Alligator mississippiensis: one gene and its partners. The protein of the gene in region 1 binds, or shares a complex with, the protein of each later gene. Links are inferred from orthologs where the notes say so. Each region holds a gene or a part of one and is shown in the gene's direction. Other genes may lie near its edges. The genes, in order: CALCR, RAMP2, RAMP1 and RAMP3.

Region 1 (7,408 bases):
GGCACTGGGTGTCAGTGGCCGCTGCTGTATACAAGCTCCCCTCCCCCCCATTCCTGGGAGACGGTGGTAGGGTTGGCAGAGGGGGCATGGGGCCGGAGGCAGAGTGGTGGCACCGTAGGGCGCTGGATGTTGGCACTCTGTCCCTGCGCGCCCCCCTCCCCAATCATTCTTGACAGACAGTTGTCTAGTATCTTTATTAATGATCTGGAAGATGGCATAGATTGCACCTTCAGCACATTTGTAGATGACACTAAGCTGGGGAGTATAGTAGATACACTGGAGGGTAGGGCTAGGATTCAGAGTGACCTAGACAAGTTGGAGGTTTGGGCCAAAAGAAATCTCATAAAGTTCAACAAGCACTAGTACAAAGTCCTGCACTTAGGAGGGAAGAATCCCATGCACCACTACAGCCTGAGGACTGACTGGCTAAGCAGAAGCTCTGCAGAAAAGGATCTGGGGGTTACAGTGGACAGTAAGCTGGATGAGTCAACAGCATGCCCTTGTTGCCAAGAAGGCTAACAGCATACTAGGTTGCATTATTAGGAGTGTTGACAACAGATCACGGAAAGTAATTATTCCCCTCTATTCCGCACTGGTGAGGCCACATCTGGAGTAGTGTGTCCAGTTTTGTGCCCCCTGCTATAGAAAGGATGTGGACAAATTGAACAGAGCCCAGCGAGAGCAACAAAACGGAGGGGATTTGACAGCAGCCTTTAACTATGTGATGGGTGTTTCCAAAGAGAATGGAGAGCTAGAGTATTCTTAGTGGTGACAGATGATAGAACAACAAATAATGGTCTCAAGTTGCAGCATGGGAGGTTTAGGTTGGAGACTGGGAAAAACTAGGAAAAACTCTCTCACTCTGAGGGTGGTGAAGCATTGGAACAAGTTACCTGGAGAGGTGGTGAAATCTCCATCCTTAGAGGTTTTAAAGGCCTGGCTAGATGAAGTTTTGGCTGGGATGATCTAGTTGAGGATGGTCCTGCTTTGAGCAGGGAGGTGGACTAGATGACCTGAGATCCCTTCCAACTCCATTGTTCTATGATTTTAACTTAAAAGAAATCATTCAGGTAATGGTGTCTGACCTAAACGACACCCAAACTGGCAGTCTCAATAAGATTGGACTCTTCTACCTCCTGCTCTACCTACCTCTTCTACCTACAGCTCTAGAGTCAGAGCAGATGTATTTGCAGACAATACAGTGAAACCTGTATTTCAGCTGCTACAACTTGTACTGCAATTATTCTCTGAATAAACAGAGCCTTTCATCCCCAGACTCTTTAGTTCAATTAGTCATTTTAAGGAGTATAAAATTAACTCTAAAAAGACATTCTTCTCCTTTTGGAGAGTAATTTAAAATCTTCATACAAGAGATGTTCTAACACCCATTTCCCATTGTCGTCAATGAGAGCTGATTAGGCCCCATGTGTTACAACTGAAGACAGACAAAATATATAATTTTTAAATAAATCTTGTAATTATATAGGGAAGATGGTACTGAGTAAGCCATAGAAAGATAACTATACCATTTTTTTTTAAGTTGGCTTATTTGATAGCTGGGGGAAGGGAGGAAGGAAAAATCACAGCATTTTGAGTGCTGGATTTTCAGATTTAACATTCTGTATTTATGAAACAGTAATACCTCAAAAGGATAACTATTTCAGCTATCTACCCTTCACAATAAGCCAAAGATAACTGTAATGATCCAGTGTTATAATTAAAACCAGAATAAAATTACCATGCGATAGTTAACAGATTTTCAGTAGATATTTAATATGGGCCTGATCATCATCTATTACTCATGCTGAGTAGTAATTATTCATGCTCATAGTCCAAAGAAACTCAGTGGGACTTCTTGTGAGAGTGCTAATCAATGTGAATAAGAGTTGCAGATCTGTGCAGTCTTGTGAACTAATGGTTATCCAAGATAGGAATGTACTCAAAGAAAAAAACTTGGAAGAGCTATTTCCAGATTATGGGATGCCAGATGTATTTTGGCAGATGTACAGTGCTTAATGCAAAAAAATAGTGCAACATAAAATCAGATTTGAAATGCATATAAAATAGAGCTTGAAGAATACAACACTTTCTAGCCAAAGCACTGAAAATGAGGTGGCAGAGAACAACACATAAAATGATAAGATTAGCCCACCAATAAAGCAAGAGGTAAGAAAATGAACCTCTTGTTCTGGGGCTGCTGCTGCAAGTGTGGTGCCTGTACCCCATCTATATCTTTTCTAGCAAGCTGTGACCAGTATGAGGTCTCCTTGAGACCCTGGAAAAGAGAAGTAATTCTCTTCTCTTGGTCTTTACAGACTTCCTTGCTACTCTGAACATCCTGTAGCATTGCTAGGTTTTTTGAATACTTCCAATACCTGTTGCTGCTGTTCCTCACAGCTTTCCTAGGACAGTAATGTGTCCCAACAAGACTGACAAGATTCTCACCAACTCACAGTTTTCATAACAGCAACATTATAACTAATGAAAACTGTCCCCAATTTAACTATACCCCTGCTTGAGAAAACTATGAGCAGTGATGGCACAACTGTCCTATTTTCATGGACTCATAACAACTCTATACAGGTTCACAAGAACAAAAACATTAAAGCAAAAGATTAAATTTAGAAGAAAGTGATGATTTAATACACTGCTTCCCACTCATTAGGGAACATGCTCTACACTGGAAATACGAGTTATGGACATACTTTACCTCTGACAGAAGACAACTCGCTTCTAGAGCAAGACTAGTAGAATGAGCATGGTGCCACCTTCTTGAGCAGGTTGTTAAAAATGTTCTTTCTTCCCATGGTCACCTGCTGGTAGGAGGTCCCACCACCTGTTATCTGCAGTGGAAAATTTGGAAGCTGGAGAAATGGATTTAAAAAAGATGATTTGAGGAGTTCTAATGAAAACATTGATATAATATATATATGTGGTATTATTTTCTAAAGAATACACCTACAGAAAAGTACCACTGGAAATGGAAAGAGAGATCATTTTTATGCATCTTTCACTTCCAGATACCTTCTTAACCTAGTTGCCTGAGCCTTCATTATTTTCCTTTCTTTTCTGTGAAATATTACTTTATGCAGATAGATATATATTTTCCCACTATTCATTTAATATTTTTATTGGGAAAACATCACTGAATTTGCAAACATCAGCCAATTCAACTCCATTGATGATATCTCATCTAATCACCTGTAGAGCTGAGTTAAAGTAATCCAGGGTCTCTGCAGATTAGCTGTGACTTCCTTTTTCCTGGCCCACTGTTTTGTCTCCATCCAGGAACAGGGACGCCTCAGTTAAGTAGAGAATGTATCCAGGCAATGTTTTTTTTTTTCTGGTTCTGGTGAATAACTTATTCTCACACACAAAAAAATGTGGTTGCAGTTGACCTGAATCGATTTGTGAATTTGGATCAAATTTGCTTTGCAGTTGACCTGAATCTATTTAGCAAATTTGATCCAAATTCACAAATACGTTCAGCTAAAGCACATGGAGAAAGAGAGGCTGATTTCCATGAAAGGTTCTTTTTTATCCAGTAGCCAAGTGATTAGGACTTCAGTTAGGATGAGCTGACCCAAGATCAATTCCCTCTGCCCGAGGAAAATTGAGGAGGAGGGGAACCTCACAGGTGTAGGTGCTACCCACCACCATTAAAATCATTGTCTTTTCTGTAGTGACTAGTGAAGTATTAGGTGTATACTGAAACGTTGAAACAAACAAACAAAAAAAGACAGAAGGAGCCTTATCTTGGAAGACATAGGCTGGTGGGAGATAACACAGAATATAAGCAGGTGCAATTCAGGCTGTTGCCTCCCATCAAACCAGGTCTGGACAATGGTTTACAGAGGTAGTTTGAACGGCAGCTACCTCGAATTAACCCGGATAGACAGTCTTGTGGGGGCACCCCCCCGGTACTTCAAGTGGGCTGATGAGTGGGAGTGTCTGTGGGATCCCAGGGTCAATTTTTTTTTTCTGGGGTAAAACCAGTGGTCTGGCTTTTAGCCTCCGCTTCTTCCTCCCAGTCAAGGAATGAGTGGATGCGGATGCCCCGTGTCAGAGGACTGGCACCACGGGGTGACTCCGCGGCAGGTCTCCCACGGTCCCTGCTGCTGCAGCTCGTCCACCTCACGTGCTGCTCGTGGCGGCGGAGAGCAGGCACGAGGAGGGCTCCCGCCGCTTCCCCCGTGCCCACGTGAGTATCTTCTGCCCAGAAAAGCAGCATCTCCCGGTGCTGGTCCGCGTCCCCGGAGCCCCCCCCAGCTAGAGGCGGGAAGCGCCCTCGCTCGCCCGCTCCTCGCCCCGCCGCCGCTCTCGTAAGATGGCTGAAGCGGCTCGGACGGAGGCCGGGGTCTGAGCCCCTCCAGTCCAGTCCGGTCCGGTCCGGCCCGGCCCGGCCCGGCCCGGCCCGCGCCCACCCCCGAGGCGGGGCCCCCTCCCCTTTAAAGCCGCCGCGGGGCTCGGCCGGCCCCGCTGCCGCCTGTCTCCCCGGCCGGGACCGGGCGGCGCGGGGAGGAGCGATTCCGGCTCCCCCGCCCCCGCCCTGCGCCGGAGACGCGGCTGCACCGGGCTCGGCGGCCGCAGAGCGAGGCGGATGCGCCCCCGGGGCCGGGGCGTGCAGCGCCGGAGCCGCCGCGGGGCCATGCCGGGCTGAGCAGCCGCCGCCGCGAGACGGGGAGTCGAGGCGCTCGCCCCACGTCGCTGCTTCGCCCGGGGCCGGGAGCCGGGGCCAGGGGCCGGGACGCGGCGCTTCAGGTGGGTCTGAAGTGCCCCGGCGGGCGGGCGGGCGCTGCCGGCGCCTCCCTCGGGGGCGGGTCCCGCAGCCCGGCAGGCGCCTGCGGGGTCTCCGGCGGGCGGCAGCTGGCCCTCCCGGGCGCTGGAGTGGCCCCGAGTCCTTCATTTCCCGGTTCAAACGCTCGCCCGGTGCCGCGCGGGTCGCCTGCCAGCCAGTGCTCGGACGGGGAGGGTGCGGGGCTTGTTACCGCTTACAAACGGGCGTGTTAAAGATGGCATGTAACAGCGTGGCGAGTGTATGTACAGCGACATGAAGAACGGGCAGGGGCTTTCCTGCGCCAGTCCTCGGGAAGCGGGGCTGGAGGGGACCTCCCGCGGTCACTTTGTCCAGCCGCTGCCAGAGGCAGGACCATCCCTGCCCAAACCATCTTGTACCAGCTACAGCCCCATAGCGCACCTCTGCGTAAGAGCTGCCCTCGCTTTGTGTCCTCACCTTCAATGCAAGCCCCTTCTTTTCAGTATCTTGTCTCTGAACATCTGCGTTTCTTCTGTTCCCATGGTGCTGCGTTGGGTTCTTGGCCAGAGGTAATTTTTGACCCTTTATTTATTGAAACCATGACGGCTTTTTAAGTTTTTGTATCTTTTCATGTGTCAGATGATTATACTTTTGGATTGAAAGGATGAAAACCCAAATAGTAGGATGCTGGGAGGGGATGAGCGTAAAGCTCAAGTGTGTGTAGCTCAATTGCTACGTATTACTTTGTATATCTTTATTTTTGCAGACCTCTAGTTTTAAGGTAGCTCTCTAGACATGAAGAATACTCCAGTGGGCGGTGTTCATAGAAGTGTTTTTGCTTGTGATTGATGGGCAGAATGGGAGGAGTTGGCAATGAGGTGAACATGTTTGGCACATTGACTTGTCGATCTCATTTATTGATTTATTTTAGGGACTTGATGAAATAAAAGTTTTTTTCCTAATCTTCTAAGACAAGTTAAGTGGACATAGAATCCTTTTTATTTGGTCAAACGGGAGGATTGTCGTTTGTTCTAATGCTGTGACTGTCTCGGTGCTGAATAACATATTTCTCTCTGACCAGCAAACTGTAGATAATGTCACACTGAAAAGAGAATTTAATTTACTGTTCAAGGTTCTAGACATATTTGCAGAGAAGCTAAATTAAATGCATGAGAGCTAATGTTTCATTTTAGACATCTGACAACCTTTAGCAGTAGGTGACCCTTACTATGTTTATCTTTATGATGCTTGCTGTTTTGTCATGTTGGTTGACAGCAATTTATTCTGGATAAACCAAAACTCAACACTTCAAGTAACAGATACACAGAAGAAAAGTGTGCATTGAGTTATATCGAATTAAATCCTGGCCCTCTTGAAATCTGTGGCAAAACACCCATAATGCCAAAAATGGCAATATTTTGCTATGGGGGGTGGGGATGGGTGTTGGGGTTTTTGCTGGATCATTATTACTTATGGCTGAGTGCCAGCCAGCTTAGAGTTGAAACTGAGGTAACAAAATCTGAATTGGGTTAATACTAGTTTGCACTAGCACAATTCCATTGTTGTTCAATTTTGGGTGATAGCCAGACATCATGTTTTAATATTAAAAGTCCTCTATATATAGTAAGTGGCACTTATTAATGTGTGTGTATGTATATAATATATACATAGAGAGAGCAGGCTGAATAGACTTGCAAAAGGCTGACTGAGTACAATTCTGATGTTTTTATCAGAACGCATCATAAATTAGATGGCAGTCTGGTTTTCTGCTGTATTTTAGTACAACTAATTAAACAGTGAACAGTTTCTTAAAACATTATTTATCTGAAATGGAAAATATGGTTAGTGAACTTTTTTGACTGGATGAAAAACAACATTTTTATAAGAGTTTGTTCTTGAGGTCTGTGACACAATGGGAGTTTAAGGAAGTCAGTATCTCTGAGAACTGACTTGCAGGGTTGAGCCGTTATTTTAGGGTTTAATCCTCTAATTTTGTTGTCCACTGAAATAAATTACCTGCTATCTGAAACTATTTTGATGGATCTGGCTTTATTTTGGATATTTTTCTAATGATTGAAGATGGTCAGTTTTGTAAAGACTGAAAATTGAGAAATAATCTACCTAGTGCTTTGCAGACTTATAGCCCCATCTTCCTACCAGAATAGAATGAAACTTCTCTTAAGAACTAGACTTTCCACTATGATGATTTTTATATCAGGAATTCTGTGTTTGTACTGTTTTATGTATAGGACACACATCTGACCCATTACCTTCATATAATAAAAGTAACAGGATAATAAAGAGAATAGACCCATTCTGCTCTGCCAAGGCACGTTAGTTCTAGGGATTCCAAAAAGAAATCCACCAACTTCCTATTACTTGTGACAACTTGGTCCAGTCTCACTGCCACTGAGGCCAGTGTTGAAATTCCCATGGATAGCGTTATATAATGCAGGACTGTCCTGCAAGGAATGAAGAACTTTTACTTGCTGTTGTTATTTTCTGTTATTTGTATTGCAGTAGTACCAAGGGCCACACCTCTGTTAGGATTTCTGTATAAATGTGAAGTAATTAATATTGTGGCTAGAACAACTGGCAAATTAAGGGAAATTAAAACGGGGCAACAGGAAAAGTAAGCTCCCCAAGGGCATG
Region 2 (6,899 bases), on another chromosome or scaffold:
GCCCAGCCCTACTCTTGATTCCTTCTTCCTGCAGATCCATATGGAATATTTCCCCAACTGCACAGCAGCTGAAAGCTCTGGGCCCCTTGAGCCTCCCGTCAGGACTATCCACGCTCTGGCCACTCTGTCGATTTGTCTGACCCCCCTCGCAGTTGCTCTCACTCTCCGCAAAAGCAGGAGAGCTGAGCCAGAACCATAACGGGACCCAGCCTCACCCCTGTGTGCTCCTTGTACCCTTCTCCAGGCTTAGGAGACAAAGGACATTGTACATAACAGCCTTAAGGACAAATCAGAAAGGGAAAGAGTGTCCAGTGCTTCGAGCAGAGGTCTGTGAACACAGGCCTGCTATAGGGTAGAGTGTTGGGTCTAGCAGGGAATAGGGCAGGGGTGGGCAGTTACTTGGGCCCATGGACCACAAAGGGAGTTTGTTGAGGTGTTGTGGGCCAGGTTAGCACCCCCATCCTCATACAGCAACTGCACCAAAACCTGTGGGCAAGCTGGGAGCAGTGTTCAGGAGTGGGAGGGGCAAGCAAGGCCAGGATCATGGGGCAGGGCAGAGCCATGATCTGGTGCCCACACACCCCTGTGATGAGAGTGGGTTCCACGGGCAGAGAACAGATTGCAGCTCTGCCCCAGCCTGGTCCCCATGCTGTCACTGCCCCAAGATCCCAGGGTCTCCTCAGCCCATCCCACTTCCAAACACCACTCCCCACCAGCCTGCAACCCCAACCCAGCTGCCTGGCTAAGCACCCTCCCCCTGTCGGTGGGTGCAGGGTGGAAGGGCCAGGGTGCCTGGCCAGCGGTGCTGAATCCAGCAGCTGCACCATCCCAGCCCTGCATTGCACCCAGGCACATGTCACAACCTGGATTCCCCCCGTGCCTGGGCCAGGCGGGGCTGAGGAACCCATTGTGGGCCAGACAAAATTGCTCCATGGGCTGGATCCGGTCCATGGGCCATATTTTGCCCACCCAAGGAATAGGGTCTAGTACAAGTATCAGCAACCTATGTCTCACTGGCCATCCCAGCCCACAAAGGGACTAGATGTAGCCGGTGATGGTCCAGTTGGGCCCATGGTGGCACAGGGGATTGGCAGTACACAGCTCAGCTTGGCCCAGTGCGTCCTCCTTCTCCACTCTGCACTGTGCCTCCTCAACATAACACAGAGTAAGTCCTCTTGGAAACAGAAAGGATCCAGGAAGCATGGCATTTTAGGAGATAATCTGGGTGGGACCAGCAGGAACTTCCTGGTGTGGCAGGACCACAATAAGGGCAGACCCCAGACCTTGCAAGGGCAGTAGGGAGACTGTTACCTCTCTAATGTCAATAGTTCTTTAAGTACATAATCAAGAGAGTTGTTTGCACACCAGAAGCCTCAGCAAGATGCTACCTGTAGCACCCCGCGTAGTCCTCCCTCCTGCTGTCTCTTTGGCTCCCTACAGCAGGCACTGCTTATTGTTGCTGCCAAATTTGCTCCTCCCCATTGCTGCTGGTGGATAGTGGGCACCAGCAACATACAGTGCAGGTGGTGGAGGTGGGGTTCATGACAGAGACAGCAGCAGGCAGCTGGGGTACTGTGGAGGGGCATGCTAGGGGGGAGCAGTGGTCCACAGCAGCAGACAGGTCGCAAATGCTTGCCCACCCATCACTGTGTAAAGTCCCCTGATCTAATGTGTATCTGGAGCCAGCTGAATACAGGAGGGATCGGGAAGACACCAGGATCAAGTTTAAAATAATAGGGGTGGGACTGGACTGGAGGTCAGGTCTCCTGGGCTCTACTACTAGATGTAGGTGGGAGGGGAATGGGGCCCAAAGGCTCTCTAGCAAAGGGTTAGTCAGGACTCTGGGGTCCTAGCCCTGAAAGTGTAGGGGGGAGATGAGGTCCAGTAGGTTACAGTGCAGGAGGCTGGAGGTCAGGACTCCTGGGATCCATTCAAAGCTCTGCCATTGACTCACTGTGAGACCCTTCCCACTCTGCACCAGGGCCTTGGGGCTTGCTCTGTGGTTCTGTGCTGACTTCTCCAGGTCTTGCTGGGAGGGGCTGGAGGCTGAGCGCCAGGAGAAGTGTTTATTGTTCACTCTGGTGTGGGTTCTCCCTGCCCAGAAAGGCTCCAGCCTAGATGGAGAAAGAAGACTCCCTGCAAGCCTGGAGGCACAGCCTGGCCCCTATCAGTCAGGTAGCACTGACAGGCATGACCAGGAGGGTGCAAGAATACGAATGGGCTCCTCTCCACCCCTGGCTCCCCTCTCAGGATCCTGGCACTTTGGGATCACGTTGTCATCAGCCTGCCACTCACTGGTCACTTTGCCCCACTAGAGTTCCTCCTCAGGGATCAGCAAAGAACATGGTGTTTGCCTGGCAAAGCGAGGCAGTCGGGCTTGTGGAACTGCTCCAGCCTGGATCTGTGCACTAGGGACTCCTCCACGGCCAGTCCTGGCTGGGAGCGTCACACATGAGTGACAAGCATGGCCCTGTTCAAGCGGCAGTACTCCAGATGACATCAGTGGGTGTTGCCTTGGCAAGGAAACACCATCTGCAGAACTCGAGGCTCGGCTCCAAGTGTGCAGACAACAAAGAATGGGATCGAGGGGCTCTAACCCCTGAGCACACCCCAGGAGTTTCATGTGCGGGTCATTATGTGTTCCAGATGCGGCCACTCTCCCATGGAAGATCTTGCAGTGTCCTGGAACAAGCTACTACTGCGCAGCCCAGAGACAATTGGCCCATTAGGCAAGGACATTTGCAGGGAAAGCACAAAACGCAGAGTGATATTATCTTTCCAGTGCAGGGAGGGTTCCTCTTAGCTGCAGTCCTTTTGCCCTGCAGTTTACACACGGTTTGTGAGCTCCACAAACTGCCTGCTAAACAGGAAACATTAGGCTCAAATTCTGCCTCAAGCCAGAAGTGAGATGAGTGTGTCTGGTCTCAGCATGTTTCCCCCTACGAGCACATCACAGAACAAATACACTGTGCAGTGTCATTCGGACTAGCCATTCATTTCTGTTTGTGGTAGCCCAGGGCTGGGCTAACAGGGGCTGGGGGCAGGAGTGAGGGGCACCAGCAGAGCTGTGAGGTTGGGGAGCCCAAGGCTGGGCAAGCAGGGACCAGGAATCAGGAGTGGAGGGAATCAGCAGAGCAATGGGGTGGGTGCTTGCTCTTTTTTCTTGCCTTGAGCAGCTGCTGGGCTCCCCCACTTTGGTAAACACGAATTCCCCCAGGGTTTTCTTGTGATGGTGTGAGGCTTCCTGGCACTTTTGGGGGCGGGGAGGGGGCAACAAGTGCTGTCTTCCTCACTGCTTTCCAGGGGGCTGGAGAGGGTGGAAAGATTACCCCCTGAGCAGTGGTGTTCAGACTGGGTTCAGAGGTAAATGCTGAGAGATGGTCTTGAGGTAGTAGCAGCAGACATAGGGCTGTTGGTTTTGAAGCTCCCCAAACCTGCCTCCGAGCCTACAAACTGCATAGCTCACTAATATCAGTGCCCAACTGAGATATTACACTTTCCCCATCCACTCCCCCGGGCTGCCTGCTCTCCATGCAGGAGACTGGTGATTTCACAACCCAGCCCAGACAGGATTAAAGTGAAATACACAAACAAATAATGGGCCTTGTAAAAGTTTTATGTGCTGTAAAGGGAGCAGAGTTCTCCCTGCCACTGGCCAGATGTGTGGGTAAAGTGACAGAGGTACCCCAAGGCTGGGGCAGCTCTGGGTGGTGAGGATCGGTGCCCATAGGCGCCAAGCACACACCTAGCAGCATGGGGGCCCAGTGGTTGCACTGTTCTGACAAGAGTCCCACTGGGAGATCTGTTTTAAAGCAGCACTGAGTAATCTCAGTTTTCACACGTCTCCTGTAGTAGATACCACCCCTGTCAGAGGAAAGGAGTTGCTTCCTGTTATTTCCATTGAAATACTTGTCCTGGTCATTAGCAGGCAGACTTTGTAGGATGGCACTATGCAAAGAGACAGACTCTGGCTGCCTTTCCCGGGGGCTCCTACTGCTGCTCTGGGGTAAGTGCAATTCTGGCTGAGCCCAGCCCGATGTGGGGCTGCCTGGGGCTGGCTCTTCTCCCTGCCAGGGGCCTTTAAGGGGTGGAAGGGTTCACAGATTTGGGCTATATGACATGTTAGATTTGGCTGCAGCCTCTCTGAGCTGTGACCCCTGCTGAAGCCTGGCTATATTCACCTCTTTTTGGGGTGGGACTGCAAAGTAGGGGAGCCCCAAGTGCAACTTTGCAGGAGCAAGCATGGCTTCTCCCCTTCCAGCAATGTGCCCTCTTTACTGACTCTAGATCAAATATTCTCTCCCTCTGTGTGACAGCCTCCAGCCAGGGGAGCTCTGCATGGCAGGGCAGTGCGTGCTGCTGACCAGGTTCAGTGACCCCTCTGTACAGGGGAGCAGGGAGAAGGGCAGGGACAGCAGCCCCAATGAAAAGTGGGACAGTTCCTGAGCCTCTTCTGGAGACGGCAGCACACAAATATAAAAAATGAATCACTAACCCACAGAGAGGAGAAGGCTCCGGGGAGTCCTTTTTACCTTTCTGAGACAGGGCTCCTGGGCTTCAGCACCGGCTCTGGCTCTGACGACCTGTGTCTCTATGCCTCGGTCCCCCCCTGTGTGAAGGGGATGGGAATCCAGCAGGAGGCTAGGCTGGCAGGGTGCTTGTGAGCAGTGGGAAGCACGTTTAGCACACGTGTCTGGTGCGAGTCCTGGCCGTGGGGTTGGTGTGCGTCTGTGCAGGGGAGCTGCTTGCGAGAGCTCTATGTGAGCATGTGTAACATCATGCTTCTCCTTGCAGCTGAGCCTGCATCATGGAAGGTATGCAAATGCTGCTGCCTGGCTCTGGGCACCTCTTCCTGCTTCCCCTCGTTTTCCCCTGTTTATTATCATCATGACCATTAGGGACATTTGGGATGGCAAAACACGCACTGAAAGGTCCCAAACCTGCAAGCCTCTGTCTGAATCAATGGTAGGATGACCTGCCTGGGCCCTGGACAGAAAAGTGCTGGCGATACTTTGACTGTGGGCACCCCTGTCTTCCACCAGTCTGCCTGCCCTCCCACCTTCCCCTCCCCAGGGGCATGCAACTTGTCACTGAGCCTCAGACTTGCTCCCATGGCAAAACTGTGGTGGGAAGAGGAAGTACTGCTGCCTGTGAGATCTCATAAATGCAAAAGTAGGTAGAGAAACAGCAAGTAGCCAGATGTCCCTTAGCCCTGGCATACCACAGACCAGCCCCAAGCCTCAGCATGCCACAGACTGGATCCCCCAGCACTGCCAAGCAGTGAGCCAATCCTGCCATCTCTGGAATGGCACTAACCAGTCCTCCCAGCCTTGCAATTTCAGGGACTGGACTGTCAGTCTTGCCATGCCATAGAGCAGCCCCCACTGGGCAGTGTACCACAAACAGCCCCCAACCCACTGCCTCCCAGCTCTGCTGTGTCATAGACCAGGTCCCCATGAGGAAGGAAAGGTCAAGAAGACAGCTTCCCTAACCCAGGTCCACTTTCCAGCCAGACCGGCAAGGTAGGCTCATCTGCTCTGCACCATCACAGTGGGTGCTGGCAGCCAATAGCAGTCCAGGTCATGAAGACCGGTTTCTTCTCTCCCCTGAAATCTCAAGGGAGGTTTAGACATGGCATTGTAGGAGGAACAGGTCCAGCCACTACCCTAGGAAGACAGTGAAGCATGTGATTAGGGGAAAAGCTGGGTTGTACTTATATACCTTATCGCTGCTGATTACTATTAATATATTAGCATAAACTCTTCCCTACAATGCATATTAACGAGCTGATTTCCGCTTGCCATATATGGTTACCTTTAACTGGAATTTTTTTAATTCTGAGGTAATCTTTTTGTTCTTAGGTGGCAGTAGGATTTTGCTCTGACTGTTCCTCTTTTGCCAAGTTATTTTTATTCAGTTTAGTTAGCCAACTTCCTGATTAGCTTTTGGTCATCCAACCAGGATCCTTCCAGATGTCTTCTTTTCCTTTAGCAGGGACAGGTCACGGTCAGGGTGACCTGTCTGTCACATTTCTGCTGGGTTGCAGCTAAGAACAAGCATGCAGCAAACAGACAGTAGTCTCTTGCCAATTGCCAGTATTATCAAGCTGGGCCCAGAAGCCTTTGGGTCCCAACACCTCCCAACCCAGCTCTTCCCCTAATTACATACTTCACTTCGATTGTCCCCTCCTCTTTCCCTTTCTGCTCCCAAGCTTAGCCTTAGAGCTACCTGTCTTATGCCCAATTCATCTCCCTGTGGAATTGGTGCAGGGTGGTACCCTGCCCAGTGCTCCCAACTGCTGCAGGTGCTACGTGCCTTTCCATGGCCAATGCACTCACCATGCGTGCAATGCCATGCCATGCCGTTTCATTTGCATATAGCCTTTACTGCACCCAAGAGTTGCAGAAAGAAGGATGTAGCAGGGAGCAGTGGGGATGCTGGGTGAAACTCTGGGGCCAGGGCAGGAGGGGTCCTGAGCACCGCTGTGCCAGCTGAGCTGACAGCAACAAGCATTTGGTTCCCTGTAGCCATCAGGCTGCCCAGAACCATCTGGGTACCAAGTATCAGAGGCTGGTTCTGCAAATCTTGACCTCTACACTACTGTTGACCAAGCCCAAGAAATATACCACCTATGTCACTAGCCCCGTGCCTACAGCTACCCCCAGCTTCTCCCAAACATCACAGGCCAGAGGGTGCTTTGGGGCAGTGCCCAGAGAGACAGAACTGCAGGGATGGATGAAGCAAGTCCTTACAACACATCTCCTTTTGAGTCCAAGTCCTGCCTGGAGCAAGGGACTGATCTACATCACCTGCTGAGCTCCCTTTCACTCCTGTTTTTCATTCTTTGATTTTTCATCCTCCCCAGTGGCTCTTGGGAGCAAGGTATGCCATGGTGGGAC
Region 3 (7,918 bases), on another chromosome or scaffold:
GGTGTACTGGAGAGAGCTTTGTTTTCAGGACTAACCCTCCACACAAATCACAGTCTCATTTACTGTAATTGTACTCTTTAATGACTACAGAGCTCTAGTAAGCCCTTTTTGCATTCATTCAAATACAAAATTTACTCCAGTAACCAGACAGGTTGTGAACCAAGCCAGCTCATTACAGGAGTATCACAAATCACATTAATTTAAAAAACTGTTAGCCCCACCCATCTTCAGAAATGCCATGCATACTCTACAAGGGAACCTACCCAATGCCAAAAGAGGTGGTATAGTCTCAGGATAATAAATGAATGGATTTCAACATCTAGTGCAGTAACTCTCAACCTCTAGCCTCAAGGCATCCCTCTGAAAATGCCAGTTTGTATTTTTCACTTGCTTTTTGAATGCAGAAAAACAATAGAGCAATTCTTCTGTTGCAAAGAACTCAGAAAGACCATAACAGGCCAGAATGCTTTTAGCACCACGAATTCCTTGTGAATTTTCTTGCACATCCCATTTGTGTGTCTAATTGTGCTAATATTGTGTGGCACCCTTGAAAGGATCTTAAGACATCCTGAGGTGCTGTGGCACCCTGGTGAAAATCACGAATTTAATTAGATAACTTATCCCTAAAAGAACCTTAATTGTAACAGGGTAGAAGCAATGTCCACAATGACATCTCACAGTCGGTAAAAGGAGTATGTGTATTAAAGAGGGAAAAGGGAGGGGATTCTCCTTTGCATTTATGTAGTAGGCTGAGACTGAGTAGTGAAGTCTGTTGTACCAGAAGTCTCATCTGGAGAGAGTTAACAAGTGTTGCTGTAAGGAGGCTGTAGAAAATATGTCATTTACTCATGTAAATCTTCCATCTAAGCATTCATTCTTTCCACACCCCTCTCCTCCTCTACCTACTCCTTTTTTGCAATCTTTCTGGGGAGTCTGCCCCTAACAGCAGCCTTTCTTTTCTGGCCTGTCGTAGGGAGTAGGGTGGTCATAGAATCATAGACTCTTTGAAAGTTAGGGTTGGAAGGGACCTCAGGAGGTCATCTAGTCCAACCCCCTGCTCAAGGCAGAACCATCCCCAACTAGATCATTTCAGCCAGGGGTTTGTTGAACCAGGCCTTAAAAACTCTAAGGATGGCGATTCCACCACCTCTCTAGGTTCCTCCCTGTTAAATGGGTCTGAGTCACCCATGCCACACACAAACCTATGTAGGCTGCAAGGTGGTACATCCCCTGGCCTGTTGGTAGTTTTGTGTAGCAGATAGGTAATTCAACTAGCAGTCATGTAGCTAAAGTAGTGTTATGCATGTTCCACGAGCAGTGGCAGTGTGTAGGGGGTGCATGGGGATGCACGTGCACCCTCTGAGAGTGCTGGTGCACCCCCTGACAGGCAGCGCTCCCCGCTTAGGTGATAGGCAGGGGGGAGGCAGGAGCACCAGTGCACCCCCTGCGAGCACCAGCTGAGGATTGGGGGCACCAGGTGAAGTGCTGCTGGCACGTCCGGGGGCACTGCTCATGCTTCCTGGTTGGCGAGATCAACCGTGACTCAGGTGGCATCAGTCGCCTATGTCCATGAGCTAAGGGTCTAGAAGGTTCTAGAAAAGGTGAACTCTTTACCTTCAATGAGGTAATGACCTAGTTTGAAGGTCCAAGCACGTGCAGTTTAGTTACTTGTGTTTGTGCGAAAACTAGCAAGAAGTCGACGTGCATTCAGTACCTTTTCATGAGGTGATCAGGTGAGATGGGAACAGCCAGTGACTGACATGCGAGTGACAGTGCCTCTGAGAGAATGGTTGGTTATGAACGCGGCTGACAGAGGGGCTGTGACTGGAACTTATAAGAAGTTCTTTGGGTAAAGCTTTTATTTGACCAACTGAAATTCTTCTTTGCAAGCTTTCAGGCACAAGTACCCTTCGTCAGGCTGAGGAAGCATCTGCAGTTGGTGTGTACCCTGACGAAGAGTACTTGTACCCAAAAGCTTGCAAAGAAGAATTTTTCCAACTATTTGAGTTGGTCAAATAAAAGATACCAGCTTTACCCAAAGAACCCTGTCTGCCTGTGTCTTTAGACCAACACGGCTATGACCTGTACCCCTGCAACTTATAAAAGAGCTTGTATCTAAGACTCCGGGTATGTGTTGGGGGGGAGGATTCATTCTAATGTGGATGTGTGTGTGAGTCTGGGTGTGAGTGAGACTTTGTGAGGCATGACTAAGTGTTGTTTGATGTGCTGAATGGTTAGTATTATGGTTGTGTCTGTAAGAAAGCTTGGGTCAGTGGGTGAAACTCTGAGTTTGGTCGCTGTGTGGGTGTTATCTGGGTGGAGTGAAGCTCCCCAGTGACACAAACTTAGGACCCAATGCAACAGACTAGTGCTGAGTAGCCATTGCCCTTGAATGGTACAGTATCACACTCCCTTAAAAAGAGAAGACTGAGTACCTGAGGAGGGGGAAAAGCTTCTGGGAGAGTGGGAGCCTTGGGGTAGATCACTGTGGGTACAGTAATTGAGTGTTCATTTTCTAATAAAATTAAATCTAGGGGCATCTGAACCCCAAGACCTCCGGACTTGGGCCTGTACGTACAATGCCTACCGATGGATATGGGATTGTTTGAAGCCCCAGGGTGATAGGTCTGGGATGGAGGATTCTCACCAGTTGTAGGGCCGTACGTGGTGCTTAGAATGATTGAGTTCTGCCTGCTCAATCGATTTGGATTTTGGAACGATTGAGTTCTGTTCAGTCGATGTGATTTGGAACAGATTTGGCTAATTTGACCTGGAACATGAAATATATATTTTTTAAAACTTGTGCGTAGAGTTAAGCTAAGCTGATTGTGCCTGCAACTGAAACATCGTTGCAAGTGGGCAAAGGGTCTGCTCTCTCTTTCATATTTCTGTATCGCCCTTGTTGTTGTTGTTGTTGTCTATTATTGTTATAATATAGTCCTGTGGTTTTCAACTAATAAATGAGTCTATTTGTACTAATTAATTATTAAGCATTGAGGTAGGCTAGAGAGAAAGCTCCCACCATGAAAATCCTTTCCTGTATTGAACTTTGGAGGAGTAAGCCCTCAATTCTGTGAAGTTAATTGTGTAATTAACTAATTAAGAGTTCAGCTTTCAACACCTACTACTCCCAGATGCCCTAAAGTCATTGGAAAGAATCTGTTGACTTCAGTTTCTAATCAAAATCCAGTGGAACTAGAGGGTGTCTGGAGCCTCTTCCCCTTCCCCTTCCCCTTCCCCTTCTCCTCCTCCAAGGGCAGCTCTGCCTAAACTTGAGCTGGCTTAATCTTGAAATCTTAAGGAAGAGGGTTTCAGCCTGTGCTCTGGCCAGCCCTGGGCTTCCACAATAAGTCATCAGGGAGCTGGGGTAATGGCAGAGCAGAAGAGAGGCCGGGCCAGGAGGCCTGTGTCCCATCAGTCTTTCGGACAGGGGCAGAGGCTCCACAGCAGCAGAAATGACATGAAAGGGTTACGTGACTGTAGGATGTTTGAAAACCACTGCATGGTGTGGGGGAGGCAACACACCAGGTTAGGCCTGGAACAAAGCCTTTCTGGGATCCTACAGAAGGAAAAGTCCATTGTCCTACCCTAAGAACCTGGGCTAACAACAGACAACTGGTTTAACATGGGGTTGACGGGACCAGGATATGCTTCACGTCACGTGAGACACATTTTTTCCATGGAAGGTGTAATGAACTCGAATGAGTTGCCATTGTTCCAAGGCAAAGTTAACTGGGGCTGGCTTAGTGCTGCCTAACTGGCCCAAGGGGCTGGTCCTGTCCCACGGCAGTGTCTGTAGTTTGCTCAAGCCTGAATTAAGCCATGCATCTGTGTTTAGCCTGCAGAGTACCTGGCTCGGCCCTGGACACCTAGGACACATTCCCGGTCATCACCCTTCAAGCTGTAGGGTGAAGGGCCTGCCTGGGGCTTGCTTCTATATGAGTCTGTTTTGAGGCAAGTCAGCACTGCCAGGTCTTAAATATGAAGTTATCCTATTGGAAGCTCAAAATGATCGTATTTGTTGAAAAACTATAGTGCACTGAAAAAGTATACTAATAAATATGCAACTAAGTCCTCATCTTGTTTACTTTATATTGCTCACTGTAAGCCATCAGGGAGGGAGGGAGAACTGGGTCATCAGAGTTGAAGGATTTCTTTATTTTGAGGCAAGTAGTCATAAGAAAGTGCTGATAACAAGCTCAAAAGTCAGTTAAGACTCCCAGGGTGCATCTATGCATGCACACTTACCGCGTGGTAATTTAGGCAAATTTAGCCAAAAAGTAGTGCGTCTGGGTGTGCATCTACTGCGCAGTAACCATGGTGATGTATGCCCACTTGGGCAGACATTTGATACCTGCATGACGCAGGTGTCAAATTCACGCCCCAATCATTACTGTGCAGTAACCAACGTGTAGACAACGCCTTCCCGTGCAGTGGTGCGCTGTGTGTGTGTGTGTGTGTGGACTGACTTGGGACTAACTTTAGACGTGGCGTTACTGCCCTTTAACAGCTGCACGTGTAGATACCTGGCTAAAGAGCCGCTTAACCTGGGAGAAGTTGCGGGGCAGTAAATGCCCGGTAGACGTGCCCCCTGAGTGATTCGGGCTTGGGGATGCGGCATCAGCGGGCTGCCGCCAGACTCACCCTACCTGTGCTGTTGCTGATGTCGAGGGAGGCTGGGGAAGGCGGCGCACACCCGGCGGCTGCGCGGGGCGGGCTGGCTGCCGCGCTCGCGCCGCCCGTCCCCGTCCTGTCCCGTGCCGTGCCGTGCCGTGCCCGGCGCGCGGGAACCTCTGACGGCCGCCCTCCCGCCGCACTGCTGTGCGTCGCCCCCGCGGGGCGGGATCCCCGTCCCCGTCCCCCCCCCCCCCCCGGAGGCGCCAGGCTGCGGATAAAGCGCTCCCTCCCGAGCCCGCACCCGCGTGGATGGTGCCCCGGCCGCGGCGATGGCTCTGCTCCCCAGGCGCTTCCTCTGCTTCCTGCTGGGTAAGTGGCGGTGCCCCCTCGTCGCGGGGCTTCGCCCTCGCTCGTGCCGCGGACCCCCGACCCCCGAGGGAGAGGCCGGCATGACCCGCCCGCCGCTTGCCCCGCCCGGGACCTTCTTCGCCCCTGACATGTCACCAGCAAGCTCGTCCCTTGCTGATCGGCGGTGAGGGGCCGGGGGGCAGTCCGCCTCCGGTGCTGCTGTGACCGCCCCGGAGCTGAACACCGGGGCCAGCACTGGAACCAGCCCGACAGGCTTTGTGGAGGCAGAGGAAAACCAGCCCTGCTGCGGTTTGGGCACTGGCCAGTGTAATGGTTGTGTGGCGGGGGCGCAGGACACACCTGTGGTTAGGTGTCGGGCACATGCCCGCTTCATGTCTGAAGTGCCCTGGCCCCGCTAGATGCCACCCTGCCCCCTGACTGGTCTGGTGGCTGCTAGCCCGGAAACCTGGCCACTGGAAAACCCATCTGTGAGCAAACGGGATCTGTGGATACTTTGGCAAACTAGAGAAACTGCTGCTGTTCAGAAACCTGTATGAATTTTCCATGCATGTTCTGAAAAGACTTTATTTTTTTAATCCTAAAGGCTAACATTTACTACCGTTCTCATTCTTGGTGATCCACTATAACGTCACCCGTCCTTACCTTTTCCCTAAAGTCTGACCCGTGTGAGAGTGTCTGTACTGTCATCTTCAGTTCTGCTTCCAAAGGCCAGTAGAGATTAAAATGGAATTTAATTCTAAAATGGCAAAGAATTCAAAGTGAATATTTCACCTGGCAAAGTAAATATTTCACCTGGCACTGACTGTGTCAGTTGGAAATGCCACCTGGATCTGTCTTGTTTGCATTTACTTGTCTGCTTAAAGGAATATCAGGTCTCTGAAGCAGGTTTATGTTCACAGCTTTTCCTCTCCTTTCCTCTCGCCACCCACATTGATACAGACTAAGCCATTAGTAAATTATATAGTTGTTTTCCCTAGTTTTCCATTTCTGCCATGTACAAACCAGTATGTTGAGGACATCATTGGAATTGCCTGTCTTGAGAAATGCTGCTGATGCTAAATGAGGTATCAGAGCATATAAAAGGTTGTTTTAAGTCTGCGTCTGAAGATTTTTTTTCTGGTTTTGTTTTGCTAAATATTTTTCATGTGGCATCTTGTCTCATGCTTTTGTTACTAGAGTTACAGGTGCAACAGGTAGAAACTCGTGTCATTACTGTAAGTATCTCTAGCATAAAAGCTTTGAAGAATCATATATCGGTGTGTTTTGTAATAGTGAATGCATTTGAGTTTCATTAACCTTTAAAGGTAAGCCACATTAAAACTGTTCGATACTGATTTGAAATATAACATTCATCGTGGAATCCGAAGATTGAGGAAGCTTCTATTTCCTTTTTACCTTCCTTTCATTCTTCCACACTGTTTTCCTCTTCAAAACCCTAGTAAATAATGTATTGAGCTGTGCTGCATATAATGGTCTTACCTGTACAACATAATTAACTATTTACCACTTTTTAGCATGTGACTATTCACAAAGAAATAGAAGATGGCACAAGTTAGACTAAACCCATTCTCCATGTTCACTTTTAAAGAGAGACTCACAGTCCATGATTAAATAGTAAATAGTAACATTTTGAAACTATGCAATAAATAGTATACATGGAAGCCTAGTATTAATGCCAATACATAGTAATTCTCATTCATCTAGGACACAGGTTCTGATGTCTCTTTCCAGTTTTTTTTAAATTGTAAATCTTCCTGTCAGACTTTATCAAAGCAGCTGTTAGGAAAATGATAGATAACATGTGAGCTTTAGTTTTGTGTTACATTTTAGAAAATCTTCTTAAATTGAATAATATGAATAAAATCAAAATAAATAAGTAAAATTAGTGTTGATATTATGCAAGTATAAAGCCCAGTCCTACAACGTGCTAAATCTCTGAAATCCTATCCCCTGCACTGGAAATTGCCTTAACAATTGGGACTCACACATATACTTATTGGTACCTTTTTAGCGTTAATGTTGCCCTTTGATTACTTCATAGGATGATTTTTTCAGTGCAGGCAAGGTGCAACCAAATGACTCTGGAAAGCCAAAAGAATACAATGTAAATTGTACCTCTATTGAGGCTGTCTAATGCACAGTATCTGTTCTATTTCCACATATTGTCCTATAGACTGCTTATATTGCACTAGCGGAATATAAATACGGTACTAAAATGAATCAGGCATTAATAAATACATCATATGAAAATAAAAGCTTTGCAATACATACTCTAATACATCCTTGTTTCCTGAGTGTTACCCTAGTTTTAGTTTTGTCTACTGACTGACTTTTTGATTTTAACTAGGAAGTAACAGGAGTGCTGTCAGTTAATGTAACTTTGTAAAATAAGAGCATCTCATTCACTTACTACTTAGTATCTTTATTATTTTTCATTTTCACTAGTCCTTCTCCTTACCACCAAAAGTGGTCTGTGCTAAAGATAACTTCTGAGTACCCCCTTTCTTTTTAAGTGGTTTAATATATTATCTGCCACCATTGTACAATAAGTATTTAGCCAGATACATTTAATAGCTGATAACAAGGAATTAACATTTTCAAATCTAGGTCTGTTTATTCTTGCTGAATCCCTAAGGGCTTGGCAGGATCACAGTTCTAAGTATATTAGTCCAGATTTTCTTAAAACGGTGGTGGTTCCTGTACAGGAGTTATACCAATATAGGAAGCATACGTATTTTAGGCACATAGACCATTTCTCTGTGACAGACAACAGTTAATTGGGGTGTGTGAGTTCCATTCTGGTGGGTACATTTGTCCTTTGCTATCTCTTTCTTGTGCTATTTTTTTGTGCATACCGCATACTGTACTATTAAAGGAGCAGTCTATTTTTTTTTCTTTCCAATTTAGAGCACTGTATATTATTTATAGCTGC
Region 4 (7,077 bases), about 57 Mb from region 1:
TAGCACTTGTAGAAATTTGTTTTCAGTATCTATGGGCACTGACAAATGTGACTATCTGTCGTACAGTCGGCCACTGAAAGCACTCTACAGCTGTGCACTGACAGAAGTTCACGGCTGCAGAGCACTTTAAAAAATGCCAGATCACATGACAATCTGAACCCTCATTTCATCGGGGTTTACATGAGGGCACTCCAAAGTGGAGCACCTTCATTAATGCCTGTCAGCGTGGGCCAGGAGCAGGCCTAAGCTGACACAACCCAACCCTGCTCTGGGAATTTTTTTTCAGAATGGGAGGGGAGGGGTGGGGGGGGAGTGAGCCAGCTGGAGGGTGGGGTGGGTGGGTTGGAGTCCCCCCTGTCCCTTCACTCCAGGCTGGGGAAACCCCAGAATTGATCTCCCTCCCTTGCCTTATCTCCTCACCCTCCCTTATCCTAGGATAGCACTGGAGCTTGGAAAGGAGGGTGGGGTTAGGGGACAGACATTGCAGACAAGCAGCCTCTCTCCCCAGTTCAACTCCAAAGTGGAACTCAACCCCTACCCTCCCAATCCAACAGCAAATGTCTGTTGGGTTGGGAGGGTCAGTTTACAACTCATGGGGCTTTCTGTGAAGCACCATAGTTAAAACGGGAAACTGCATATCTGCCAGTGCCCTCAAAGGCTGAATGCTCGACATGATGCTGCTTTCTTTGGAGGCAGCCTTTATAGGAGTTGCAACAAATCAGGCTTTTCAGATGATAAGGGGTATGACATTTTAAGTACATAATTGCATAATTGGCATCATAGGATTTTTCATTTGAAGGGGGTAGGGTGTGTGTGTGTGTGTGTATGCGTGCTCTCTCTTGCACTCTCTCACACACACATGCACACCCCCCCTCGTTTGTATGAGAAATGTTGTCATTTCTTACTCATAACTGCCAAATATAAATTTCACAGCTTTTCTGAAGAAGCAAATTAGTTAGCGCTATCAATATTAATGGTTTGAGAGAGAGAAGTTTGTGTTACGAGGGGAAAGCCCATACATAATTACAGTGACATTATGAAAAAAGTGTTAATTTTATAGCATTTCTGTTTACAAGCTGTTCCCAAATACATAGACATCTAAGAATTATTCATTTTAGTTCAGTGTGCTGAAAATGTCAGCTTAAGTAGCTGGCTTATGAATTTTAAATAGCTTTACCATCTCCAAACTAGTGTGCTTGCCTATAAATTTCAGTTGTTCTGTACTGGAATTTCACTGGCATTCCATGAAGTAAACAGAAAATGTGGAACGTCTATTGAATTTTACGAGTTAAAAAAAGAATTATTTCACATAAATTTGCTACTACTGTTATGCAGGATATCTTCTCTCCTGAAGATGTATGAACAGAAATACTTGCTGCATTATTTACAAACAAACTGTAGTTCTAGATCAGAAATATTTGTTACATTTCAGCAACACTTCTGTACCATCTGCCATAGAAACTTGGATTTCCTTAAACTATTAAGCACCATACATCCTACCACTTGGGAATATTAATCCTGGCAAAATATATGATTTGTAAGAGAAATTTGAAATATGACAATCCTGTTCCTTATTATTATTACTGTAGGAAATATAATGGTCATTTATTACAGACTAGTTAATCAGAACTTCCTTATGATAATGGGATGGCTTTTGGATTCTCTTGCTTCTCCCAAAACACAGGTGCTTGCTAACTACAGCATTGCTGCATGATCTCCATTAGCTATTTGTTATCTAAAACCTTAAATATTTCATTGACTCCCCTTTTATCAATGGCATGTGCAAAGTAAGAAATTCATTATTCACAACTTCTTTAAAAATTAATTGCAGATATGTACTACAGTGTCTTGGACTTTTAATTTAAAGGTTAGATGAATTCTTTTCCATTTTTCTCAATTTGGTTAATAAAATAGCATGGTCAGTTTATTTTTTTGTTTATAGTCCATTTCATTTTCAGATGCACATGCAGTGCGCCAATGTTAAGTTTGAGTCACAAATGCTGCCTGGGCCTTTGAAAATTGTGCAGAAACACTGTTTTCATGGCATTGTTTGGTATGAGAGGAAATGCATTCTCATGTGTGTGTACATACATAAACTCATGGAAATCTATGCACAGATGTGCACATATTTGCATTAGGTTGTATAAAAAAAAGAATGTACTTTTGTGATTAATCTTGACCATATCAGTGACCATGTTTTCCTTTACTACTTAAATGTAATTCTCCAGATGCAGTTCTTCTGCTTATCTAGACATACTTTCTGGCTGTTTATTAAACTGACCAGCATAACTGTTTTTGGCTGTCTTGGTAAGTCTCCAGAAAGTGTTTTTTACTTCTTCCCCCTGGCCTTTCTTAGCTAGGATGCTAATTTCCCAATACTTATAGATCAAAAAAATACACAAAGTTTAAATATTAATGAAAATGAGCAAATAAATCCCTCTGGACGTGGCCATGCTAAGATGAAATGGCATCATTAAAATACATTAAGCCCTTACTTAAAGCCCTAGCTATTCTGTTTTGGAATATACCTTTCATGAGCACCACTGCTGCCAAGTTGCAGCACTCATTTGCAAATACATATTCACACTTCAGCTCTGTACACCGGGGACTCAGCTGCAAGGAGTGAAAGCAGCAAGTTCTATCTAGGATTTCTTGAGGATATATTGACAACATTTCCTAAAAGCAGGATGTTGGCTGCATGGTACCCCTTCTTTATTTGTGGCAGGGCTGTGTTGGCAGAAGTCTTATATAGAGTTTATATTATGGATTGTATAGGAGAGTTTGGATAGGGATGATCCTGCCTCAAGCAGGGGCTTGGACTAGATCAGTGGCTCATAATCTTTTTTTGAACTAGGACCCATTTGTAAACATTGGGCAGGCCTGACCCACTTAAATAGTTTAAGTGAAAAAACAGCCCCCAGGCCCTGCCTGTGCCCCTCACTCCTGACCCAACCCTGACCCTGGACCCCCAGTGTTTGGGGCAGGGGGAAGTATGTGGGGTGGGAGGGGGCCCAAGCAGCCCCTTGCAGACTGGAATTCTGCCAGCCTGCAAAGGGAACCCATGTTTCAAAAGAATCATAGATGTCATAGACATTAGAGCTGGAAGAGACCTCCTGAGATCATCAAGTCCAGCCCCCTGCCCAAGGGGCAGGAAGTCAGCTGGGGTCAGATCACCCCAGCAACATAAGCATCCAAGTGTTTCTTAAAGGTATCTAGAGTAGGTGCTTGCACCACTTCTGGGGGGAGTCTATACCAGACTCTGGAGACTCGGTAAAGAAATGTTTCCCTATGTCCACTCTAAAACAATCTTCCAGCAGATTGTGACCATTAGACTGTGTCTTCCCTTGGGGTGCCCTGGTGAACAGCCATTCTCTTAGTTTTTTTCTGATGAACCCCCCACAAAAGAGTTACTATTTGATATCCCGGAGATTTTCCCACACTTTTCTCCTTTAAAGGAGAAAACATTTTTAAAGCTTTTTGTGGCCTTTTCATATATTCCTGCGACCCACGGGTTAAGAAAGACTGGATTAGACCCCTGGAGGTCCTTTCCAGTCCTACTTCTCTATGAGTCTGCAACTCCAGGTGCTCCTCTGCATCATCCCAGTCTTTAAAATATCTTGGCAGAGGAAGCTTGTGCCAAGATTGCCCCTGCTTAGGGGCAGGCAGTCCCTTGAGAGCTCTGGATCTTGCTGCCCTTGGTCCTTTCCTTGCTGAAGGAGATGCTTGGAGGCAATGGATTTATTCGCCAGTGAGTGCCCCAATCTCACTGGAAAGGAAAGGATGGGAAGGGAGGGTAAGTGCAGACTAGGCAGAGGCTCCCTAATCACAGAGGCTCCACTAGAGCCTGTGTGGCATCAGGCACATCATGTCCCTGGGAGGCACAGAGGCACAGAGAGCAGTGCATGCACCCCCAGCTCCCTCCTCAGCTTCACTCTCCTGCTCAAGCCCTCCTCCTCCTCTAACTTCCCATCGGCTGCCTTGGAGGATCCCAGAAGAGCCACAACATCCTCCTCCCAATCTAGGCGGGCTGGAGGAGGCGGGGGGAGCATAGGAAATGGGAGTTGGGAGTTCACTGGTGCCGAGAGGCTGCTGAGCAGATCACATCTCGGGACAGAGCGGAGGAGGAGGAGGAGAGGGGCTGGGGGAGAGATCGCACGTCCCATCCACCCTTCCCACCCCTGCGCTTGCCGCTGCTCGGGCTCTGATGCGGAGGAGCCGCCTTGCCGGAGAGATCGGGGTTGATCCGAAGTGGCTGCGGACCTGCCGCCCTTCCTCCTCCTCCCCATGAGGGCTCTTTCCCCCAGAGGCTCCTGGTTGCTTCCCCTGCTGCCTCCGGGGTCGGGATGGAGACGCCTGCTTTCTGGCTAGTGCAACTTTTCCTCTGCCTGCTGTGCGGTGAGTACATCCCTGCCGGGTGGGATCAGCTCCGGCAAAAAAAAAAAAAAAAAAAGGGGGGGGAGGCAGGGAAATGCAGGGCAGCAGCCCCTGCGGGGGGAGCAGCACTTCAAGCAGGGGTGCTAATGAGTTAGCAATGATTTGCTGGGAAAGTTTGAGATTTAACTCTCAGCCTTAGTTCAAAGGGGAATGACAAACCACCCTATGAACTTCACTACTGGAGACAAAAAGTCAGCGCTAAACATAGAATTGGATTTAGGGTATATTATAACCTGCCTGCCATCGGATACCCCCCAGGTAACCTGTCTGCATTTTACCAGCTACGTTTTATCACCAGCTCAACCCCCCGCATCTACCTGGGTTCTCACCTCTTGTCTCCCATCCCCTCTGATTCTCACTGCCAGGCATTTGCATTTTCACAGACTTTGATTTTGCATACTGCCTTCTATTCAACCCAGGAGAGCACTAAACCTGTTCCAGCCTTTTGCACTGAAAAGCCCCATACTAGTCTCCCAAAACACCAGCAGTCTCCCAATGCCTGAAGAAGGGTGTTTGTGCCAGAAAGCTTGCAAAAGACCATTTTTTCCAACTATTTAGTTGGTCTAATAAAAGGTATCATATCTACCCAAAGAACCTCATCAGCCTTAGTTCTATTTCACTAGCAGCTCAAGCATTTCTGGGTTTCCCTTGGCAGGAGAAAGAGATCAACTTCTCTCTCCCTCTCATTTTTTTTCTTCTCCCCCCCCCCCCCCCCCCAGTATTTTAGGCTGGTGATTTTTTCCCCCCCTTGCTGGAGAGGCAGAGCCCTTCCGGAGTGGTGATTTTCAAGCAGGGTTTATTGCAACCTAGGAGGAAAACCCTAATAAAACTTCCACCACCTCCTTCCCAACTCCCAAGCTCCCTCGGGATCGTTCAGTGACAGTCTCCCATCAGAAAGGCCTGCTGTGTTTTGGGAGAGTAGTAGGGGTCTTTCCAGTGCAAAAGGCATTTTTTTTTGCAGCAATATTAATTGTTCCAGAGCAGGCTTCGCTGGTGATCTCGGTGGCTGGAACTCTGTTTTGAAAAGAGAGACTGCAGAAAGGCTCTGTAAGATACTGACCCTCCTTATGCCCGAAGAAGGGTGTTTGTGCCCAAAAGCTTGAAAAGAACATTTTTTTCCAACTGTCTAGGTGGTCTAATAAAAGAGATCACATCTACCCAAAGAACCGTGTCTGTAAGATACTAGATCTTGAGAGAGGACTTTTCAAAGAGCAGAAGGAATCTCTTCCTGGTGAAAGCAACCCTGGGACTGGATCTGTGATAGTGTCTTGTGAGGAGAGAAGATGTCTCCAGGCTCTGCTTCCCTCTCCCCATCCCCACGCCTTATCAATGAGTTGTACAGTGTCAGATGTGTATATTTTGCCTCCAGTGTTGGTGATGCTGATGCTGCGTCTGGCAGGGAAACGCCTTCTAATTGCACAGCAGATGCTTGATGTGAGTTCCAGAGAGCAAGAGGGAAATAAACACAGTTTGAGACCAGACCAAACAAACCATCCAGAAAAGTGTTAACCGAATTGTGGCTGTTGTGGATGCTTATGCACAAAGCAGATGGCTTCCCCTCCCACACCCCTTTGTTGCAATGGTCCAAACTCAGGTTGCACGTTTCCCTGAAATATAGTTCAAAATAATCATCTTTGATGTGGCAGCACGCGCGCGTGCGCACACACACACACACACACACACACACACACACACACACACACACACTTTGCCTAGGTCCTGCAGCAGACAGACACACATGGATACATATATACATATGTACACACACTTGGATGCCTAGATCCTGCAGCAGAAACAGGCACACACACATGGATGCCTAGGTCCTCCAGCACACACAGATGCACACTTTGATACAGTATTGCCAACCCCACCATGCCAAAAATCATGAGATTGGCATGTAAATCATGCAATGCTATTTTTGAAGTGTGTGTGTGTCTGGGGGGGGATGTTATTTGTGAAGGTGCGGGGGACTGTGGGGGTGTGTGTGGGGTTTGGAGTCTGGAGAGGGGGGTCCCCACACACCCTGGCAGGAGGCCAGGTACTGTGGGTTAGGAGTGAGAAGCAGCAGCTGGGCTGGGTGGGCTGTGGCTTGGGAGTAAGGAGCAGACACGCAGAGACATTGACATATACACAGACAATACCCAGCTGGTAAGTGGAGGGAAATGGGTAGGGGGGGCCAGATCGAGGCATGGGTGAATGGGGCCCTGGGGCCAGGCCAGGTCATCCAGTGGCATGGCAGAGGGGCGTGACCCCCCGCAGCAGTGCACACCCCTGGGGAGGCATGGGGCACGTGCCCTCTATGGGACAGAGGCAGGCTGCCTGCTGCAGGCTGGGCTCTGCTGCCTTGCACCAGGAGCTCAGCTGTGCAATACTATTGCCACCTGTTAAGCAGGCAGGGGACATGAGGTGTGCTGGCTGCATGGCTCATCCCCCTGCCCCCTCGTGGCAGGAGGCACACAGGGCAAGGCAGCAGGGTGCAAAGCCCCAGCTTGCAGTAGGCAACCCGCTTTGATGCCCTGAACCTGCAGTGGACACACGGGCACACGTGCACACACACATTTGTATGCCTAGATCCTGCAGCCAACATGCACATGGACACATGCATACATGCTTTGAAGCCTAGATCCTGCAGCAGACACATAC

Evidence for each region.
Region 2: the proteins of CALCR (region 1) and RAMP2 are in contact, whole or in part, in a cryo-EM structure (PDB 7TYX), measured with the Homo sapiens proteins. The link is inferred for Alligator mississippiensis from reciprocal best matches to the Homo sapiens genes CALCR and RAMP2. Residues at the interface, in NP_001158210.1 of Homo sapiens: Arg45, Lys46, Met48, Met49, Asp50, Gln52, Tyr53, Lys54, Tyr56, Asp57, Met59, Gln60, Trp76, Gly78, Arg126, Phe235, Leu238, Ile242, Thr246, Val250, Glu255, Lys256, Gln257, Arg258, Trp261, Tyr262, Leu264, Leu265, Phe269, Pro273; in NP_005845.2 of Homo sapiens: Trp86, Tyr93, Ser94, Arg97, Asp98, Glu101, Leu109, Pro112, Glu117, Ile120, Phe121, His124, Phe128, Cys131, Pro136, Phe138, Ser139, Asp140, Pro141, Leu146, Met149, Ile150, Pro153, Ile154, Leu156, Ile157, Leu160, Ile161, Leu163, Val164.
Region 3: the proteins of CALCR (region 1) and RAMP1 are in contact, whole or in part, in a cryo-EM structure (PDB 9AUC), measured with the Homo sapiens proteins. The link is inferred for Alligator mississippiensis from reciprocal best matches to the Homo sapiens genes CALCR and RAMP1. Residues at the interface, in NP_001158210.1 of Homo sapiens: Arg45, Lys46, Met49, Asp50, Gln52, Tyr53, Tyr56, Asp57, Met59, Gln60, Gln61, Thr75, Trp76, Asp77, Gly78, Asn124, Arg126, Phe235, Leu238, Ile242, Thr246, Val250, Ala251, Gln257, Arg258, Trp261, Tyr262, Leu265, Phe269, Ile276; in NP_005846.1 of Homo sapiens: Trp59, Ile63, Tyr66, Arg67, Ala70, Asp71, Phe83, Trp84, Pro85, Val89, Asp90, Phe93, Leu94, His97, Gly98, Phe101, Ser103, Arg109, Ala110, Val111, Arg112, Asp113, Pro114, Ile118, Leu119, Phe122, Ile123, Pro126, Ile127, Val129.
Region 4: the proteins of CALCR (region 1) and RAMP3 are in contact, whole or in part, in a cryo-EM structure (PDB 8F0K), measured with the Homo sapiens proteins. The link is inferred for Alligator mississippiensis from reciprocal best matches to the Homo sapiens genes CALCR and RAMP3. Residues at the interface, in NP_001158210.1 of Homo sapiens: Arg45, Lys46, Met49, Asp50, Gln52, Tyr53, Lys54, Tyr56, Asp57, Met59, Gln60, Arg74, Thr75, Trp76, Asp77, Gly78, Asn124, Arg126, Phe235, Leu238, Ile242, Thr246, Gln257, Arg258, Trp261, Tyr262, Leu264, Leu265, Phe269, Ile276; in NP_005847.1 of Homo sapiens: Cys57, Leu59, Ile63, Tyr66, Glu67, Thr70, Tyr83, Trp84, Pro85, Gln90, Ile93, Thr94, His97, Arg98, Phe101, Ser102, Cys104, Val106, His110, Leu111, Glu112, Asp113, Pro114, Val118, Leu119, Leu122, Ile123, Pro126, Val127, Leu129.

Annotation. Positions count from the first base shown.
Region 1 is NC_081828.1:174,341,596-174,349,003, forward strand, and holds the start of CALCR (calcitonin receptor), read left to right. Parts: upstream 1-4,392; 5' UTR 4,393-4,761; intron 4,762-4,860; exon of another isoform or gene 4,861-5,238; coding exon of another isoform or gene 5,239-5,325; intron 5,326-7,408. UniProt on the Homo sapiens protein: G protein-coupled receptor activated by ligand peptides amylin (IAPP), calcitonin (CT/CALCA) and calcitonin gene-related peptide type 1 (CGRP1/CALCA).
Region 2 is NC_081827.1:152,179,398-152,186,296, forward strand, and holds the start of RAMP2 (receptor activity-modifying protein 2), read left to right. Parts: upstream 1-3,897; 5' UTR 3,898-3,942; coding exon 3,943-4,006; intron 4,007-6,865; coding exon 6,866-6,899. UniProt on the Homo sapiens protein: Accessory protein that interacts with and modulates the function of G-protein coupled receptors including calcitonin gene-related peptide type 1 receptor (CALCRL) and calcitonin receptor (CALCR). Required for the transport of CALCRL to the plasma membrane.
Region 3 is NC_081827.1:187,002,090-187,010,007, forward strand, and holds the start of RAMP1 (receptor activity-modifying protein 1), read left to right. Parts: upstream 1-4,906; 5' UTR 4,907-4,946; coding exon of another isoform or gene 4,947-4,986; intron 4,987-7,918. UniProt on the Homo sapiens protein: Accessory protein that interacts with and modulates the function of G-protein coupled receptors including calcitonin gene-related peptide type 1 receptor (CALCRL) and calcitonin receptor (CALCR). Required for the transport of CALCRL to the plasma membrane.
Region 4 is NC_081828.1:117,398,064-117,405,140, reverse strand, and holds the start of RAMP3 (receptor activity-modifying protein 3), read left to right. Parts: upstream 1-4,072; 5' UTR 4,073-4,343; coding exon 4,344-4,395; intron 4,396-7,077. UniProt on the Homo sapiens protein: Accessory protein that interacts with and modulates the function of G-protein coupled receptors including calcitonin gene-related peptide type 1 receptor (CALCRL), calcitonin receptor (CALCR) and G-protein coupled estrogen receptor 1 (GPER1).